Drosophila melanogaster: one gene and its partner. The protein of the gene in region 1 binds, or shares a complex with, the protein of each later gene. Each region holds a gene or a part of one and is shown on either strand. Other genes may lie near its edges.

Region 1 (7,908 bases):
TTACATTTTGGTCTATTGAAAGATAATTATAAATATATGATTATTATATAATCAAAACCAGATATATGATATATGTATATACCGGCCATAGGAACAGTCGGATAAGTTATTCATATGCATAGTTTATTCGGTAAGCTTTATTAAATATGTTCAATATACTTATATTACAACTTTAAACAAGTCTATGCAAATAATAAAAATCAGATATTATACATAAGAAAGTGCGATGGAGATTAAATGGCATATCTGTGCTGATTAACTTTTTTTTAGGTTGCCCATAGTCTCCAATTAAATTACTTCCCTAGACCCATAATCAATTCTACCGTTCCTTGGTTTATCTCCCTCATTCAATCTTCCTGTTCTTCCCTTTCTGCATACATTAGCGCTTTCAATCGCCTTCTGGGCCATTTCTTTCCGATTGAAATCCGCCAAAATCTCTCTTGGCCTAGGCTATCACCACCATCAATTCGCGTTGCATCTATAAATAGCATCTTGTTGCACTGTCCGTATCCGTGGGATTCGCGAGTGAGCCGTGGGATTACCGACGTATTGCCTTCCATTGGCCGCAGACCAGAAATGCGAGAGGTGGCCAATGTCAATGCCATGGCCATGGGCGCATATGGCCAAATGCAAATGCGAAACCGAAACAGAAACAGAATCGAAATCGCAATCGGAAGCAAAGAGCCAAAAAGCGATGGAGGAGAAGCACTACAAAATAATCCAACGGTCGCCGCAAGAGAAACACTTCCCATTTCTTCCGGCCGCAAAGAGAGGTGCCCGGGCGGTGATTAAATCAGTTAAGAGCCATTGGCCATTGCAGCCAGGTCTCCTCTACCCGGAGCCAAATCCCCCTGGTCATCGCAATCAACCCATTCCCCTCTCCCATTGCCGCCCAAATTCATTGGCGCCTTTCCCTTCCGCCTTTGGCTGTTGCGCATTTTGTGTTTTGCTCTCAACGTTCATTTTGGCCTTCTTTTTCTGGCCAAATGATTTAATTTCATGTATTTCGCTGTGCGGCAATGGCGATGCTTATTAGTTGCAATTTGCCAGCTCTGGCATAAGTTTACTCTAGCCAAAGCCAACAGCAAGCACCGCAAACTAAACCAAATAAATAAAATAATTGCCTTCCCAAGAAGTTGATAGAATGGGCAAAAATAAGGGTGGTGGCGGCGGCGGTGGAGGAGGAGGTGGCGGTGGTGGAGGCGGGGGCAATGTAAGCAATATTTGTGTTATGCAACTTGCGTTCTAATTGTGAGTCTAACTACTTGTAATCCTCATCTTAGTGCCAGCTCATTCAGCTCATGGTCCCACCAAACTTCCAAGTAGCAATTTAACAATATTTAACTTTATCCCTACTTTCCAACAATTTTAAAATAATTCGTTGACCAACTTTCTAAACATAAATTTATAAAAGCATTGCCAAATTAAAAAAAAAAACTTTAGTGCACTAGAACTATTAACTTTGAGATTAAGCCTTGCATACAGTTTTTTAGGAAGGTGTTTCGTGCTACCTGTATTAATACGTTATTGTAGACCACAAATAATGGTTAGATTACATTTTATCATGCGGATAATAGCTGCTGCTGTATGTAATTAGAGAACTCCTGGTGCTTTGGAACAAGGGTCCCCCCATTGCAATCCTGGCACAACTAACCTTTTTCTCATTTACTGACTTCGCTGGGCAACCTTAAACAACCGTGGCTCGTTATTTGCTCGGTCCCAGCTCAAAGCGAAATCTTTCCGTGTTTCTTTGCCCACAGAAAAAGGGCGGCGGTGGTGGCGGAGGCGGCGGCGGAGGTGGCTCCGGAAATAAAAACAAAGGCGGCGATGGAGGCGGCGGTGACAAAGGTGGAGCCAAGAAAGGACAAGACCAAAAGGCAGCCGCAGGCGGTGGCAAGAAGGGAGGCAAGAAATAGCAACCGTGGCAACATCAAAGCGCATTAAAAATTACAAATTTAGAGTTAAGTTGAAATTAAAAGTGATATCAGGGTGTATATACGAGTATCTCTATAATGTATGTGACTTTCTTACAATTTACTGGGCGCTGCCCGCCTCTTCTACTACAAGTACGTTCGGATATATTTATGTAGGTTAAGCTTAACAATAGAAGAGCATCCCATCCGCATTCCGCTCGAATGCACTTCACAGGCCACTTGATTTGAATCCTCTAGCGAAACCACTCCTGGGACATCCCAAAGAAGGAAGCTGCGCTCGATTTGGATTTGCTGCTGTCTCCCTTGCGGGCTCCATTGCCACCCGACTTCCTCGTCGGCGTCGTTGTCGCCGTCTGAGATAGAGGGATAAAATGGGAGATGTTATTAATTAATTAGTACTATTAATTGGTAGTTTGTCTGATTAATCTGTTAATTTGCCGCTGGACTCTCAGATTTATAGCGAGCAGCGAACAGCAACAAATGGAAAGCAAACATAATTAGAGAACGATTTATACCGGCGGAGATCGCAGCTAATTACAAAACATGCGAGTAACGGCCAAGTAGCCACTGCCATAAATTAACATTTGCCCAGCGATTTGATTTCAATAATTGCAGCGATTCATTAATTACCATCTAAGGCACTCGTATACGCGCCCGTAATATATACATAATCATTCTGCCGATGTTCTGGCCATCCACTTGGAAATTTCGGGTTGGGTTTCAAGCGAAACTTTTGCCAACCACTTGCGGACGAAGTAGGGAGGAGTGGTTGGGAAATGGCGGCAGAAAGTTGCACCTAATTAAAATTTGTCTTGCGGCATTCTGGTTTATTTATTGCTGGATGGACCAAATTAGTTTAATTAAACTGCTGCTTCAGCTTGAAGAGGTTTTCAAATTTGGAAATGAAGCACTTAATAAGAGCAATGCGGCTATTTTGCTCACTCTTAATAAGTATTGGCTAAACAATCAATATCATGCAGCATGCAAACGAGGAATGATAACAAAGTATCAACAATCAAATAACATTCCTACCCAACCAGAGCAAATGTTGAAACTATTGACTTAGGAATGCAGTCGATAGAAATCCTAGGAAAGAAACATGGGAACGTAGCATTATAACTTGATAAAGTTGGTAAAAGATAAACTTTATATCTATTAGGGCTGTCGGTTTAATGCTTCAGCTAATCAATTTAGAATTTTAAATACACCACCAAATAGTAAAGCTTATACTCTTGAAGCCAACACCGACAGCCCTCTATATCATCACACTTTATACTCACTTTCTCAACTGGCTCTTGGATCGGAGATTTCCGCTCTGCGCTAGTAACTCTTCCGGCAGCTTGGGGCATCACAATGGGCAGCAGCGGGAACCACAGCGACGTGGATCCGGAAGAACTGAGACACAGCACATTGGGATCTGCTTCATGGGCCAAAGAACTGGCAGCAGCTGCACCCTGACTGGGAGCAGCTGCCGAGGGAGTAAGCACTCCCAGTTCACCCTGCAGACGGCTTGCAGCTCGGGACACATGAGCGGTTATATGCTCGGCAAACAGCTCGAAGTCAAAGGGATCTATGTAGTCGCGCAGTTGGTTCTGCTGGGCGTGGATTTGGTCGTAGAGAGTCCTCTCCTCACGTGAAATGGCGAACACGCGCTCCAGGAACTTAAGATCAAAGTATAGTTGCAGGGCAATATTCTGACTGGCTTTGGTGCATTCCGCGTGGGCCAATCCCTCGTAGTGGCAGAGCAGTTTCCCTATGAGCCGCTGAATGAATGCTTGCAATACCTTGGGTGGCAGAGTTTGGGGAACAACCGAATTCAATGCCTGAATTAGCTGATGAAGATACGTCTGCAGAGAGAGTCGCGGCTGACTGGGGATTCGAATGGTTGACTGAACACTCTGCTCCTGGTCCTCGTCGCGCTGTTCCAGTGTCAAGGTCTGCCAAAGCTACTCAAGAATATAATTATGTTACGTTACAAATAAATTTCTTCTTTCCATATAATTACCGCAAAGTCGCTGAGAACCACTTCATGATTAATGACCTTTGGCAGTTTCTCTTCGCAATTGTGGCCGGCCAACACATCGTCAACGATGACCAGCCAAAAGGATAGCATCTCCTTTTCGATCAGGCCACAAATGCGCTGCCAATGCTCAATTCCCAATCCCGCCGAGTTGTCAGTCCACTGCCGCCAACTGGACGGCTGGCAGAAGCACAACTTTAAATTGGGGCACAGCTCGACCAAGGCGAGACTATTCCTCAAAGCCAGGAGCAGAGCAGGGCGTTCCCTTAGCTCTAAACCTTTCAAATTGGATAAATACTCTGTCAGCTGTTCCTCGGCCGTTTCGCGCAGAAACTCGATAAGTGAAACCTTGTCCTCAGCCCTCGTCGTTTGTTCTTGTAACATCACATTCAGCTCCTGTACGATATCCGCCAGATGTGAGTCAAAACGTTTACACAGTTCTATTGTTGCGCCGTCATAGCCCTTCGTCCGATTTGCCAGTCGCTTTGGTTGATCGCTGAGTGCTGCCGCCAAGCTTAAAGGCAAATCATCGCTCTGCTCCCGCCAAATTTGTAGAGGCGGTTGCGACTGACCGGCTTCAATAAGCAATAGTACCTGTTCGTAGGTCAGCTTCATGGCGGAAGCCCAGCTGCTGCGAATTATCTCTCGTACTCTGGCGTTGATCAACGGCACGTACTTTCTGGCGTAGAAGTCTAACTGGCTACGCTTAAGATGCAATTGCTGTTCTAGGCGAACGAAATCCGGTCGACCATTAGTTCTGGCCGCGGACTTAATGTCCTGGATGGTCTGCATGTTGGTGACTAGTGCAAAGACTTGCTGCAAGTGAGCCGCTGCCAAGGCGTTCATTTTATCTAGCCATTGTTGAAGTGAAGAACCCAACTGCTCAGGTGTTAGCTGAGGTACATCAAATTGTGGCTTAAAACCAGCGATGATTTCGGGTAAAAGATGAACCAGCTGGCGCTCGCTACTCTCCATTCGGTTGATGCTGGGTGGACACGTAGAAGAGGCACACTCCTCCAAGCGGCTAAAAAGAAGGCTATAACCTGTACGAGAGAAAAGACCGATTGTTCCAATAATAATGTTGTGTGCCTATCTGCGAATGGAAACATACCCAAAAGACACTTGTCCAGAAGCTCCACGGTGCTGTTGAGCACGTTTAAGCTAGCCAAAATGCGATCCTTGACGCGACGTGGCTCCGATGGACCGCTTTGCAGGCAGTTCAGAAAGGCTGAGGAGCGCAGGTTCAAGAAGGATTTCAGCACAGTACTCAAATCGCTTTTGTCTAGCAAGAGAAGGCTCTGCAGGCAGTCCACAGTCATTTCTTGTAGGAGTTCCTCCCTCTCCAGTGCGGTCAGTATGGCTTGTTTGATGGTCACGTGAAAGGGACGCAGGATTTCCCATTGCTTGCGCGCTACCGGTAGTTTCTGCATCAGGGCACTCTGGCCGTCCAGTTGCAAGCCCGTGCTGATGTGGCGACTGAAGATGAACAACTCAGTAGCGGCATAGAAGCGATCGTTGTCCAAGTGCGTCCAGATTAGTTCCGGCAGGGCAGTAAGCAACTTAATCTGAGCCATGGTGCCGTAGTAGGTCTGCAGCTTTTTTCCGGCGTTCCTCTCCTTCAGTGCGGCATCTTTAGCACTTGCATTGGCAGTTGACTGGAAGCCCAGGAGCTGCTGCTCGTTTAGACTGCGGCAATTGGCCTGCACGTGTCGCACTTGCTCCATAAGTGTCCCGGCCGACGTTTGCATCGCAGCAATGGTGTCAGCCGCCTGCAAAAGATCTCGGTACCGCTCCCTTAAAGATTTAGAATGTTTAAGCAGCAAATCTTCTGAAGGTGCCACATCACTCACCCGACATGAGTGCGCAACTCCTCGCGCTTGTTCTCCACCACCGACTGGATCTTTTTGTGCACCTCGTCTATCTCGGACACGCTGTGCTGCTCAAACAGCGTGTCCACGTTCAGGTTTAACAAATTGGCCGTCATTTAGCCGTCAAATTAGTTTTATTTAAATTAAGAAAACAATAACAAGGGAGCAGCTGTAATAAAATCGAATTATGTATCGATGACTGGCAACATCGATATTTTCTCTCATGACTGTCTATGACTGTTAAATTTATGTTAGTTTACATTTCTCTGTTGGTAAAAATGTTAGATATGCTGTCATGTGCAAGCCGTTACATTTCAATATAACATAAAGAGTTATAGTTAGGGGAATTACCTCATTTAATCGAAAAAAGATATTTTTCTAAATCCAGGTTTCATTTGTTTAAATATACTTTATTAAATGCATTTGTCTGGCATAGATAAACTAATTTACATACACAACAAGTGTAAAAGCAAGAATTCTGATTGGTTTGGCAGCAGTAATAAAGAAAAACCAACAATGGCTTTCACTCCTTTCCCAATTCCCGCAGCACTGCGTTGGCGATCACAATTCTTTGGATCTCCGAGGTTCCCTCGTAAATCTCTGTGACGCGGGCGTTGCGGTAGTAAAGCTCCGCAGGCAGATCGGTGGTGTACCCCATCCCACCCAGGATCTGGATGCACTGGTGGGCACAAAAGGTGGCGGACTCGGAGGCATGCAGCTTGGCCATGGCCGCCTCCTTTGTGATTGGCAGCCCATTATCCTTCAGCCAAGCGGCACGCCACGTTAGCAGCCTTGAGATCTCCACCCGCGTGGCCATGTCGGCCAGCTTCTGCTGGATGAGCTGCAACCGTGCCAGATGCTTTCCGAAGGCCACCCTCTTCTGCGAATAATCCACGGCTAGTTCCAGGGCAGCTTGTGCGATACCGGTGGCCTGGGCGGCTATACCGATCCTGCCACAGTCCAAGGACTGCATGGCGATCTTGAAGCCATCACCGGCAGCTCCAAGGACCCGGGATCGCGGCACGTGAACGTCCTCCAGCACCAGCTGGCAAGTCGAAGTCGCGCGCATGCCCATTTTGCTTTCCTTCTTGGCTATGGAGAGTCCTGGAACATCCTTGGGCGTAAGAAAGGCAGTGATTCCCTTGTGTTTCATGCTCTTGTCCACCGTGGCAAAGACGATACCCCCGCTGGCCTCCTTGGAGTTTGATATCCACGCTTTAGTGCCGTTTATTTGGTAGCTGTCCCCTTGCAGCTTGGCCGTGGTGCTGGCAGCTCCTGCATCCGATCCGTTTCCAGGTTCCGATAGTGCATAGAAGGCGATGTGCTCACCCTGGGTGTACGGCACCAGGAAATCCTGCTTCTGCTGCTCGGTTCCATGCTGCTGCACTGCACCCAGGTACAGGTTATTCACGCCCATCACAATGGACACGGCGGCGTCACCACGAGCCACCTCCTCCATGCCAATCGCGTAGGCCTGGTAATCCAATCCGGAACCACCTGAAAAATCAATATTTAATGAATGGAATCTAGTAGTATGATCTATTTATATACCATTTCAAAAATGAAAACATCACATATTTTATGTTATGTAAATATTGTAAATATTATAATTGAAATAGGAACTCACCATACTCCTCTCGAACCGTCACTGACATGAGACCGAGTTCTCCCAACCGTCGGACCTGTTCCGCCGGATAAAGCTCCTCCCGGTCGTGGTGTCGCGCTTTGGGGGCCAGTTCCGCATTGGCGAACTCCCGGCAAGTCTTCTGGAGAATCTGGTGGGTCTCGGAGAGGGCGGCCAGGCATGCGATTCCCCGGTTTCCACCAGCGATTATCCTCGCACTCCATGCGCCGCTCGAGCGTTGACCTGCAAAGACGGAGGCGGCAAATCGATCATCCAGTCAGCCGGGAATCACCCAGTTCCTCACCCAACGTCCGCGCCACTCTGATCAGCTGCTGCATTCCGTCGCCAACTGATCCCAAGCCCGTGGTGCCGGTTGCGATCGAGGTAGTGAAAGCTTTTTCGCACTCGTCGACGAGCCGATCGAAATACAACCGAGGAAAACAGCTTTTATACGCAGCTTTT
Region 2 (5,138 bases), on another chromosome or scaffold:
GTACGATGATGAGGAACCCGATGTGGGCGTTGGCGAAGCCTCTCCGGATGCGGAAGAAGCCACGCCACCTAACTACGATCCGGAGACGCAGCGTTTGATCCAGCAGGCCAATGAGGCGCGAAATGCTCTCGAGGAAGTGGAGCGCAGCCTGCGCGAGATTCAGCAGGAGGTTAACGAGATCGACGACCAGAACAACAAGGGCTACGGCCTGACCGAGGAGTGGGCCGTGCACGATGGCCAGTGCTACAATTTCGAAGATCGGGAGTATGTGTACACCCTTTGTCCCTTCGATCGGGCCTCCCAGAAGTCGAGGAGCGGTGGGCCTGAAACCACGCTGGGTCGCTGGGACAAATGGAGTGGAGAGCCAAAGCAATATTCCCAACAAAAGTACACCAATGGTGCTGCCTGCTGGAATGGTCCAAACCGTTCGGCCATCATCAACATTAGTTGTGCCCTGGAACCCAAAATCACTGCCGTCAGCGAGCCCAATCGCTGTGAATACTACTTTGAATTCGAAACTCCCGCCGCCTGCGACAGCGAAGCTTTCCAGTCCGAATCGGAGAATCTGCACGACGAACTCTGAAATGTTCAACAATCGACGATGAGGATGAGCCGCAGAGAAATGTGAATGCTTGGCATGCGTAGACCAGAGATTTGGGGATTGTATTTTAGTTTTAAAGGAGAATATCAATTTTGTCGAGATCATTCCCAAACTGCAGCAGGAAAACCATCAAGAATTGTAGCTAATTAACTCAGTATATGCATTTAAGCAAAAAGTACATCAAGTTTCATTCTGAATAAAGTGTAAACACCTAGTATTTTTAAAACAGATAACATCACTGAATGAAAATGTTGATTTAAAGTCGGTTTCCTTGAGCTCAAACATACAAATATTTTACTTTCGTGATACTTGAGCACAGACGATTTCAAGGTATAGGGAAAAGTATATTATAATTGAGAAACTATATGAAGAAATTTAATTGAATGTACACATTTTAGGCAGCAAGAATTTTTCATTTTAAATAAAGTGTCAATAGTTTGCATATTTGATATTGTTGCCAAAACGGAGGACTCGGAACTTTGTTCATCTTTGAGATCACCCTTCGCAGGATATGAAATAAATTCCCGGAATAGTACAATGGTGAGTTGAGATTTTTAAAAACTCATTCTGTTCTCAATAAAGTATGTATGTATAAACATTTAGTAAATATTAAAAATATGCATATTACAAGGTAGACTAACTTTAGGCCTCGGTGACAGCCTGTTTAATGTCCTCCAAATAGCCATCGACCTGGTGCTCCAGTGCGAGAATGTGTCCCGTGTTACAGTTCTCCGCGCCCACAAAGGTCAGGATGAGCGGCAGCTTGTTCATCTGGACCACCTGGTAATTGGAGTACATGGAGATGATGGTCTTGTTTCTGCCCAATCCCAGTTTGCTGGCCTGATCGCAGGCGGTGGTGAATGTGGGTATGAACGAGGGCATCAGGGCGAAGTCCACGTTCTTCTCCTGGCTAACCCGCAGGAGGGGCACTCCGTCGCGATCCGTAATCTGAATAACGTACAGCCCGCTGACCCTTTTGTGTAAATCGGGGAATGGGGGAAAAATTATAAGTTAATCATATTGGGAACAGCCTTTCCTGTGGAATATTTACTTTTGCAGCAGGCCGTCTAAATACTTCTTGATGTCGTCCGACATGGAAAATTTGTTAAAGCGAAAGACTAGAGAAGGTATGGCAATAATAATACGTTTTTCTCCGCATCCAATTATTTACACAAAACAAAGTGAGCAACAGCTGCCTCAAGTTATCGATAAGTTCATGTGGCAGGGGCGTAGTCGGCGGTCGAAGTAAAATATTTTCAGCAAGCGGAAAAAGGATGCGGCTAGTTTTTAACATTATTATTTAAATATTATATTATTAAGCTATCACGCAATACTTTATATAGTTTTTTAGAAACCCCTTCAAAAAATTCAATCCCCGCTCAACTGGAAATTTATCGATTACAGCCTGTTTTTGGTTGCGTGGAAAAACAGTTTGTTTGCAATACGTAAAATTGCTGCAAGTAATGGAAATAAAAGTGTAATACCAGCTTATAATTCGTATTACCATAGATTAAAACCTTCTGCATCATGGTGACTGGAGACCCGGTAGCGACAAAGACCCCAAACGCAGCGGATTCGGATGATAATGACTTTACCGCATCCATGTCGCACCTGACCATTGGCCAGCAAATCCAGGAGCTGTCCAAGCAACTGCAGAACACGAAGGAGGAGCTGCACCAGCAGGTGCGCGACAAGCACGGAGCTCTACTGCAGCAGGCCACCCACGCTGGGCGCTTCGATGCGGCTTTAAACGCGCTCGCCGAGGATGTGCAGCGGGTCAGGGAAACTGGGCACCGGCTGAAGAACCAGGTGGACACGCAGTACCAGCAGGTGGAGAACCAAACGCAAGTGCTAGGGCGTCTGCACGATGTCAGTCACCTACTCCGCTCGGCTGGAACATTGCTGAGCCTCACGGCCAAACTAAAAGCGACCAAGGATGTCCTACGCCTGGCCGAAATCCACTTTGAGTTGGGCCAACTCATCGAAGATAAGGAGCTAAAGGACATTGATTTTATCCAGCAGGAGCGAGCTTATGTGATCAGCTCTGCTCAGAAGATAAGGAACCTCACGCAGATGCAGTTGGTCACTGGGCTCCAGGAGCGCAATGAAAACCAAGTGGTTAATGCCTTGAAGGTGGATATAACAAACATTTTTCTAGCATATACCTAAGAGTTCTTATTCCTTAGATCTTTATGAATTTCAATACGCTGGAAAAATCGCTGGATAACCTATTGGCCACCTTTATTGCCGACATGGAGCAATCTCTGAAAGAGTGCTTTGCTGGCAACGATATATCTGTGCTGAACAAGTCCCCGACGCACAATGTGAGCAAACCTGCTCCCTCGAGGGGACCAGGAAAAACTCCCCAGTTGACAACCACTCAAAACTTCCGTGCCAAGTTCTGGAAGTCTCTTCATTGGCTGCTCTATGATGAACTTTTTGAGACTTGCACGCAAATCAAGCTGCTGAAAACGGCTCTCGAGCAGATCAACCAGTTTGGCTATACATCAGAATCATCGGATCAGTGCATTCCGCAGCGTTTTTGGCAGCAGGTGCAGCAGCTCCTGCGAAAATCCTTTGACGAATGCCCCCAGCATGTTACGCAGACCCTTCAGGAGGGGCTCTCAAAGCTCCTGACCTCCGCTCGTGGCTTGGAGCAGCGTCTGCATGGCGAGTTTCAGTTTGACAACGAACTATTTGCTCCCCTGGAAGTGGGTTACGTTAGCAAGTGTGCTGCCAACTTTAAGGCATGTCTGGCGGGAGTCGATTTGCCCGGCAACGAAACGGTGGACAACTTTATTCGTGTGGCATCAACGGAGCTCAGTGCTGCTTTGATCGATTCCCGTCTCACGAATGCCATAGCAAATGTATTTGCGGCCTGTGGAAAAGAGTTGTGCACAAAACTAGAGGCTCAAATCAAGCTGGGAGCTGATTCCAAGCAGGTCGTGGATCTGCCCAATCTGCAGCAGCAGCAAAACACCCAGCTGGCGAATGTTCTGTTCTACTATAAGGATTCAGTGCGTCGCATGCTCAGTGATCTTCATGTGCACTTTGAAAAGACACCGGGAACAGCTAGGGAGATTATATCCCGATCCTTGGAACAGGCTGATTTACTGATCGGCACCATTCTACAGCAGATAATGGAGTCGATTATCACGACCATTAGCATCATTGTATTGAGTATGCACAGGGAGCCGGGATTGAATTCGGAGAGGATGTCTACCACAGGTCCGTCGATGTACATGAAGGAACTGCAGGTGGGTGGGAATTTGAATGTAATACTTGGCTAGTCATATGTCTCAATCAAACTATTAGGAGTTCGTCAACCGATCCTGGTCGCATCACATCGCCCTGTTCGATGACAAGCAGATGACGAAAAAGTGCGGACACGAGTTGGCCAAACGTTGCATTGAGCTCTTCCTGCACAATGTGTGCATTCTGCGACCTTTAAGCTCCTGCGGAAGGCAGCGTTTGAAGCAAGACTGTCAACACATGGAACAGGCGTTGAAACCTCTTTGCCCAAATCTCGCCGAGCTGGGAAAGCCGTCGCGTCTGCTAAGAGCCATGTCCTTGCTGATCGTCCAAACGGCCGAGGAGCTGGTCAAGCAGACAATCGGCGAGGACTCTCTAGTGCCCAGTTACATAGTGCTGTTGCTGCTCTTCGGACACGCTGGAGCAGATCTGCAGTCGCCACACACGACGGCCAACTGGTCCAATGAGCGGCTGATCGAATGGCTGGATGGGCACACGGCTGAACGGGAGAAACTAGAGCTGATCTCGGGGGCACTGCAACGGTATCGGGACAATGCCAGGCGAAAGAACATTCAGCAGTACGACGAAGTTTACCCCATGATGGTAGATTATTTTGAACAGGCCTTAAAGGCACTTCCATAAATGTCTAATGTATTATGTATCTAGAACTATGTATGTATGTATGTAAGAGCACGAATATGTTTGGAATAAACATATGCATGGCATCCTTCTATTAAATCATTGTACTCAGTTCCTTCCGCTAAATGAAGCTAATGAGTTTCTTAGAATAACTTATTGAGTGGAATAATGATAGCAGTGAGAACTTGAGGCTAGAGGCTTAAAATTGAAATTATGCGAGGTTGTGTCATATTGTCATTTGATTAAATTAATTTTGGTAGGCAGTTTTGGCTGGCGCTATATGAATAAATGGAATTCCATGGTTAATATAAATGATACTGGTACTTACTCAAAAGACACATTTTGGAAGATGTTTCGTATTAAAAGAATAATTCTTACTTATTCGTCATTAACATTAAGAGGATTTCAAATAAAAATATATCACTACATCGTTTGGAAATAGTTCCTCCGGAATATCGGTATTTATATATTTTTCACATTTATATCGATTTGAAATAGGCATTCAAAACAACGGTAGTAATAACTTTTTTAAACTATCGATGCGTATTCAGAATAACGGTACTAATAACTTGTTCTAACTATCGATGTGTATTCTGAATAACGGTAGTACAAATTTTTCCCAACGGTATATCGATATCCATCTGGG

The links.
Region 2: Cog1 (region 1) and fws share a complex: the UniProt entries of both Drosophila melanogaster proteins name them as parts of the conserved oligomeric Golgi complex.

The regions. Positions count from the first base shown.
Region 1 is NT_033777.3:12,213,667-12,221,574, forward strand, and holds Cog1 (component of oligomeric golgi complex 1), read right to left. Parts: upstream 6,021-7,908; 5' UTR 5,939-6,020; coding exon 5,805-5,938; intron 5,749-5,804; coding exon 5,066-5,748; intron 4,998-5,065; coding exon 3,940-4,997; intron 3,881-3,939; coding exon 3,215-3,880; intron 3,021-3,214; coding exon of another isoform or gene 2,997-3,020; exon of another isoform or gene 2,967-2,996; intron 2,288-2,966; coding exon 2,168-2,287; 3' UTR 1,917-2,167; coding exon of another isoform or gene 1,761-1,916; 3' UTR 1,214-1,760; coding exon of another isoform or gene 1,145-1,213; 3' UTR 126-1,144; downstream 1-125. Other genes in the region: CG14742 (uncharacterized protein), read left to right, coding at 1,145-1,213, 1,761-1,916; CG4860 (uncharacterized protein), read right to left, coding at 6,346-7,319, 7,450-7,689, 7,751-7,784. UniProt on the Drosophila melanogaster protein: Required for normal Golgi function.
Region 2 is NT_033779.5:17,477,892-17,483,029, reverse strand, and holds fws (four way stop), read left to right. Parts: upstream 1-2,000; 5' UTR 2,001-2,061; exon of another isoform or gene 2,062-2,110; 5' UTR 2,111-2,128; coding exon 2,129-2,734; intron 2,735-2,787; coding exon 2,788-3,858; intron 3,859-3,916; coding exon 3,917-4,495; 3' UTR 4,496-4,588; downstream 4,589-5,138. Other genes in the region: GCS2beta (glucosidase 2 beta subunit), read left to right, coding at 1-583; Lamtor3 (late endosomal/lysosomal adaptor, MAPK and MTOR activator 3), read right to left, coding at 1,244-1,574, 1,653-1,696. UniProt on the Drosophila melanogaster protein: Required for normal Golgi function and necessary during spermatogenesis. Required for cleavage furrow ingression during cytokinesis in dividing spermatocytes and for the extensive polarized cell growth that accompanies spermatid elongation.